Linked DNA regions of Oryzias latipes. The protein of the gene in region 1 interacts with the protein of each later gene in a biochemical or structural test. Links are inferred from orthologs where the notes say so. Each region holds a gene or a part of one and is shown in the gene's direction. Other genes may lie near its edges. The genes, in order: bone morphogenetic protein receptor type-1A and bmp4.

Evidence for each region.
Region 2: the proteins of bone morphogenetic protein receptor type-1A (region 1) and bmp4 form a complex in vitro, tested with the Homo sapiens proteins (3 studies listed by BioGRID and IntAct, with this or other methods). The link is inferred for Oryzias latipes from reciprocal best matches to the Homo sapiens genes BMPR1A and BMP4.

What each region holds. Positions count from the first base shown.
Region 1 is NC_019873.2:12,328,501-12,332,819, reverse strand, and holds the start of bone morphogenetic protein receptor type-1A, read left to right. Parts: upstream 1-1,357; 5' UTR 1,358-1,568; intron 1,569-4,319. UniProt on the Homo sapiens protein: On ligand binding, forms a receptor complex consisting of two type II and two type I transmembrane serine/threonine kinases.
Region 2 is NC_019880.2:7,812,280-7,815,429, forward strand, and holds the end of bmp4 (bone morphogenetic protein 4), read left to right. Parts: intron 1-689; coding exon 690-1,543; 3' UTR 1,544-2,363; downstream 2,364-3,150.

The sequences.
Region 1 (4,319 bases):
ATCGCCTTTGGAGCATCCTGAGCTTTAGTGTGACCTACCTTCAGATCAACTGAAAGGGTTTCATCTGTGGGAGTTTTTATAATGCCGGATGTCAGTCTAAACTCTGCGTGTCACGATTTCTGCTCTGTTCAGACCAGTTTTTACCCTGTCTCCTTTTATACAGTTTATGTCAGACAGTGTGAATGTGCATGCAGAGCAGTTTGTTGCAGCATGTTGGGATGTAAAAAAAAAAAGCTCTGACCCCGCCCTCCAGACACATACGCAGAATATTACTGTAAAGAATGGTTAGAAACTGTGATGAGCAGCAGGAAGGCTGGGATGAACCTGCTATCACTCTGAAATGCTGCTTTACTGTTTGACAGGTTTACAAGGAGAATTACAGCATTGCAGTCTGAATAAAGCGAGCACTTACATCATAAAAAACATCTGCATTTGTCCTGTTCTTCATTATTTCACAGCTTGAAATCAAGAAAAACACTTGGGTTTTTAGCAGCTTTATAAACTAATTCACTTCAAATTTTACATTTACTAAATTCCATAAAATAATGTTGCTTTTTCGAGCATCAATATTTTGAACATTTAAAATGTTTAAAAAAAAATATATATATATATATATATATATATATATATATATATATATATATATATATATATATATATATATATATATATATATATATATATATATATATATAATACCAATCCAGCGTCTATGTTCTTATCTGTGACCAAACTCTTTTCAAAAAGTATTTACTCTTCCCTTTAATTTTTTTCTTTTTTTTGCAGACCTGTTGTTTCGCTACTAGCCACTAGATGGAGGCAGACTAAGCTTAAGTCAGAATTTCAAAGTAAAAGCCAGGACAGAGTAGTGATTGCAAAAACAGATGAAAGAAATTAGGCAAGAGTTCTCACTCTGACAGTAATATCAACTCAACCGGGAGGTTAGACGGAGACTTTATTACCTTTTTCAGTTTTTAAAAGAAGAAGGCACAAAGAATAGATACATTCAAACATGATTTTAGCGTGTGGTAATTTAAATACAGGATGTTATAAATAGTTATTATCCTCAAATTTCTAATAGACAAAAAAGTCACATGAACTGCATCCATGGGAAACGCAATGAAACAACGTAAACTATAGAATTGAATATAAATGTGGCGCACAAAAAGAAACGCTTACTGTATGTTGGCAGTATAGATTTATGATAAAAAACATCAATAATAGAGATTTATTCAGATGTAAATCTGTATTAAATTATTTACTAATTAAAAAGTCAGGTAACTGGAAAGGCTCATCCGGAAGTTTGACTGTCTCATTTGACGTTAGAGTGAGTAGTCTCGTTGCTCACAGACGATCTTCGAACAGGTTTGGGATTCACTGTCCTCGCCGTCAAACAGAGAAAACCGCAGAAGGAGCGAGTACTGAGGCGCATGGAGAGAACGGCAAAACCGCTGGAAAATACGTATCTGTATCCCGGAATACTATTCAGAGTTAGGATTTAAACAACAGATTTGTGCTGGAAAACGAGATGCGTCCCAAGGAGTAAATAAGGCACCCAGGAGGATAAGGTAAGGCGGATAAGATCCAACAAAACCCCGAACTTCACTCCCTGTAGTTGGACTTTTCAGCTCCGTCTATGTGCTGAATCACATAGCGAATAGAGCCTGGAAGAAAATAAATGTAAACTTGGTATTTATACATTATTTTATGAAGTAGTTATTAGATTATAAGTTCGGCATTGGGATATATTGTCAGTTGTTTGTGATACTGAAAAAAAAAATTCAAATAAAATGAACAGATTTCGTGAGTGGTTTGGCGCCAGGAAATAGTCGTATCCTGTTGGCAACGCTGTCGAAAAAGTTCCCAGTTGTTGAGCTTCGGCGAGATTATTAAATGTTTTGCAGAAAAGAGGCTATGATGAAGCCCATCAGTATGTAAGCAGGCATTGTTGATCCCAGATAAGTGAATAAAATCTGCGGGAGAGTTTATCTGGATCATCTTTGCCGCAGTTTGTTCACCGAGATGTCGCTTGTTAGCCGCATTCCTCGGTTAGCTAACTCCGCAAATATCACTTATTTGTAATAAAACAGTTTTTACGGTTAGAAAAAACGTGTTACCGATAATTTTGATCAATTTTGCCCGTTTGTCCGTGAGTTCGTTTGTCTGTAGTCAACTATGTGTGAAAGTTAGAGAAAGTTGAGCTAAGTTTCTCGTTAGCATGTGGGGCTATAACACGCAGAGAGAAGGTCTAGTTTCTGCTGGTTTTCTCTGTTTACCTGAAATTATTGCTTCTCGTGCACGCGCTACCCGGAGCCACCTGTGGCGCGCTCGTTTTGTAGCTTGTTGTGTGTTTGTGTCGGAGACTGCCAAACATATTTAGCCTCCAGCATCAGCCCCGGAACACAAACTCTGATTGTTTTTTTTTTTTTTAATTATGTTTTGGTGTTAGTGCAATGTTTCTCCAAACTCCAAAACCCCACATTCAGTTTAGCGAAAATTCGCAAACTTTCCTGGTTAAGCCTTCGTTGAGTTTGTTGACATTTTTGGAAAAACCTCGAATGTATTCCACTCGGGGCTTTCTTTTTTGCCATACTTGGGACCAGTATTGTTGAAGTAAAACTTTTTTTTTTTTTCTTATTGTCAACATGTTTTGGTCGTTATGTTTGTTGCCTTCTTAATACCTGGATTGTTCAGGTTTTTTTAATCTCCAGACAAATCTGGCCTATACCTTTTAAAATTGATTTTAAGTTGATTGATTTCTGTGGTTTAGGGTTTCAGACAGAACGGCTCCCTCTTGTCCTCAGGGGCTGTTCTTGGTTCAGACCTGTTTATTTTCCATTTAAAGTCATCTTTATTTTATGTGATGGTCTTTAATATGTTTGATTATTTCATCCTATCAAACTGATTGCCTAATCAGTGAAATAATGTGCAGTTTTGAGCAATTAGTTTTGTGTTGGAGTAAAATCCTAACCCAACTGAACCACGATTAGCTTTCTTTTTTAACTGAAACTAGTTGGTTCTTAGATCAGAGCAGTTTCTGTCCTAAAAGCTTGACGTATGCTCCTTCAGTTCAGTTTTTTTTAAAAGTCCAATCATCATTGACTCTATTGTAAAAGTGTTCCTAGTGGTCTTTTAATTATAAATATGCCGTTTTAAGCCAATCAAAAAACAACCTTTGTTGTTTTTTAGGACATAGTTTCTGCTGAGCGGCAGTACTTCATCGGCTTTTGGTGCAGACTAGTAAGCTTGTCTGTGCTTCCCGTCATTCATCTGTTTACACAATCTCCCTTAAACTTGTGCAACAAAAATGAGGAGCAATATTGGAATCATCCAGATGTTCAGTTTTGAGCCACATACGAGCTCAGACCAGGGAAATTAAGTACTTGGATCTATTTATGTCCTCCGTCATGAGAAAAATGCCACAAGAACATGTTAAAAACACCAAAAACATTATTTTTATCAGAGTGGGTCTTCAGAACATTCTATGATTATAATCTATAAAGTGATAATACAAATAAATAACAATTCTTACTTGACTAATTATTACTTGAAGAAGACACTTTAATATGGTTGTGTAAAACAAATTGAAAATGGCTGTTTTAATCACATTTTAAAGCTTTTAAGAGACAGAATCCTTTAAATGTGATTGTAAAAGATAGATTAGTGACATCATGACAGAGACACACTACTTCCCAAAAGAGCAGTGGGTGTTTTATAAATCTGGCAGGTTTTTTTTGTTTTGTTTTTACTCTCTATTGTCGTTGGCCACTTTTTCCGTAGTCAGATAGAATATGATTATTTTGTTGTGGTGTCTTACAGGGGGTTGAGCTTGGTCCAGCTTTTTTGTAGTTTTTGGGTCTACGTTTGTTCAGCATCATAGGCAGATGTCATGCCTGTATCTATGTTTTTTGCTAAGATTAGTGTGTTTCTGTCAGAATCTTGGAATTGTTGTTAAGTACAAGTCTTTTTTTATTTTTGCCATTGAGTCCTTCATGTGTGATGTTGGATTATAGCCGTTTCACTGAAACTGCAGGTCTTAACTGTTTGTTGAATGAATGGTGCTGATTCAAACATTTTTGTTTTTTTAAAACAAGAGCCAACTTTTTTTTTGCAGATAAATCGCTGAGTGTATGTGTTGACATACCCTAGTTACGTTAACACATCAATCTGAGATTCTGAGTTGAAATATAAATATTTGTTTGGATTTCATATTGTCATAAAATATGATTTTTGTTGTTTCACTTTAAGGGCTGAAAGTTGATGTTAAATGTAAAGCCTCAAATTTTAGGACTTTATACAGGATTATAACTTAATCAAAA
Region 2 (3,150 bases), on another chromosome or scaffold:
AGAGGTGAGGTGTGTGGATACTTGAAATTCTAATTAGCCAGGCGAAGCATTCTTTCCCACAGGCTTGGAGTAAGTGTAATTCTAGTGCATTGTTTGATTCCTTAATGATTATTCATGATGAAAATGATAAATGTCTTAAGTGAACAAACTACAGTGCTAATCAAAAGCACAGCAGGTTTTAATAATGAGAACCACCTGGGGAAGATTAGGGCTTGGGTGTGAAATAACAGGGGTGGATTGAGCAGGAAAATAGTAGACACAACATTCCTTTCCCCAACAATGGTGATCTTGCCAGAAATCTGCAGACTGTGCGTGGAACAGGGAGCCTTCACTGTGTTTATACTGTAGCTGTGGTACGTTAATCACCACCCTCCTTGTAATGCATGTTTCAGCAAAGTGCTCAGAAAAAGATGCTCGGAGAAGAGCCGGATAATCCTCGAAGAAAGATAAGGAAGTGTGGATGATATATATTTCTTTACCTGGTTACGCTAGAGGCCTAAAGATGTCTAGGCTTATATTATTTGATGTGAGTTAAGCCTGCTTAAGAGTGAGGAGATGAACTGTTTGTCTTGAGTTGCGTAAATGCTCGTAAGCTTCTAAAAAAGTCAAATTTAATGCTACAAGAGTTCACATCAAACACAGCAGAGTTATTCTCTATGCATCAACATACTTTTTTTTCTTGTTTTCAGAGCACATGGAGAGGATACACGAAGTGGATGATGCAGAATCCATCCGTCTTCGCTTCCTGTTCAACCTTAGTAGCATTCCAGAGGACGAGCTGCTGTCTTCCGCAGAGCTGCGACTCTACCGTCAGCAGCTGGGCGAGGCCAACGATGATAGCCCCCTAAACGACCAGGGCCTTCATCGGATAAACATATACGAGGTGCTTAAACCCCCGCGGCCCGGGCAGCTTATCACGCAGCTTCTGGACACCCGGCTTGTGCGCCACAACGCTTCGCGTTGGGAGAGCTTTGACGTCAGCCCCGCTGTGCTACGTTGGACTCGGGAACGGCTCCCTAATTATGGACTGGCTGTGGAGATTCTCCACCTTAATCAGACTCCACACAACCAGCACCGACATGTCCGCATCAGCCGTTCCTTACACCAGGAGCCAGGAGAGGACTGGGACCAGGTACGCCCTCTTCTGGTTACCTTTGGCCACGATGGAAAGGGTCACTCATTGACACGCCGGACAAAACGCAGCCCCAAACCACGAGGGCGTAAACGAAACCGCAACTGCCGGCGCCATACTCTGTATGTGGACTTTAGCGATGTAGGCTGGAATGACTGGATAGTGGCACCTCCTGGTTACCAGGCCTATTACTGCCACGGAGAGTGCCCTTTTCCGCTGGCAGATCATCTGAACTCAACTAACCACGCCATCGTGCAGACACTGGTGAACTCTGTGAACAACAACATTCCCAAGGCCTGCTGCGTACCAACAGAGCTCAGCGCCATCTCAATGCTATACCTAGACGAATATGACAAGGTGGTCCTAAAAAACTACCAGGAAATGGTAGTGGAAGGCTGCGGCTGCCGCTGACCCACAAACTGAAAGCCTCTTCATACTCCGCGGGAGCAGAGAAATGTAATCTCCCAGTCGTGCAAGAGCAATTGTTGCATTTCTTTTCTCAAGTTCTCCCAGCTTGTTCCCAACTCAACTTTTAAGCAGAACTTTGTATTTTGTGCAAAGGTGTTTAATGATTGGTTGATTTGAAGTGGGCGGGGTTAATGCAGCTCTGTCTGTAGGTGCAAATTGACTGAATGGCATTATCTGATGGACCATGTCGTAAAAACAATCGGTTGACATTCTGAAAAAGTCTTTCATGGCCGATTGGTTTCCACTGTTGAAGGAAGACCCTGCTCTAAAAACGACAAATCCAACATGATTCTTCCTTTCCTTCTCCTCAATGAACTGCATTTTCACTTTTTCATTATATATTGTGTAATGTCACAGCAGGAGGACCCAATCAGGACTTCTAATAAGTTTAGTTTCAAAATATCCTAGATTTCTTTCATCTACCTTGTGAAGCCGAAAAAAATGTCCTGTTCCCGTGGAGTATGAAGACCTTTTTTTTTAGAAAAGAAAAAAAAAACCTGTCATTTGGACTGGCAACAAACAAAGCAGAAACAATTCCACCCAAAAACATTTACCATTATTTATAACTTCTATGATCTGTATGTTTGTCTCACTTTTTTCCCTTTTATCATACATTTTGGCAAAATATATATATTTATATCTACATATTAAAGACAAATTGAGCCCTTATTTTAAAACAAAAGCTGTACAACTTTTCATAATGTACATTAGATTGTTTTTTTGTTTTTTTATGGAGAAAATAGTAAAAACAAAGTAAAGTTTATTTACTGGTGATATTTATTGCTTTTGTTTTATACAGAAAAAATAAAACATGAACTGCTTCATTTAAATCAATCGGTCACATCATAATATGTACCCACTTTGTATCTGAAAAAATAAGCAAAGCCTAACACTCACACACATACACGCACACACACATATATATATATATATATACACACATATATATATATATATATATATATATAAAAATATATATGGTATATGTATACCGTTACATGTATATATATATATATATATATATATATATATATATATATATATATATATATATATATATATATACATATCATAAATATGGTGTGTATATATATATATATATATATAAAAATATATATGGTATATATATACCGTTACATGTATATATATATATATATATGTCATATATCAAGAAAATCAAGTTCCATCTGTACCTTGGCGTTAATCTACCACTATAAACGTAATCTTTTTGTTTTATAATATTGGTTTTGTCCGTTGTAAAAAAAAGTATGTCTCAACTATTTACAAAAATATTTTTAAATAAAAGTTACACTATATTTCAATCACAAAAAATCCTGAAATGAGAAAAATAAAATACATATTTGACTTAATTTGTTTGCATTTTGCATCAAATTAGTTTAAAAAATATATTTTAAAAAAGATTTGAAAAACTTTCTAGGAAATTGAGAACTATTCCTTCACATCTGGTTTTGGATTTCAATCTCAAAGCTAGTTTGAGGGTCTTTTCTCACAAAAACCTAATTTTTATGTCAATTAGGCCGATGTGTTTT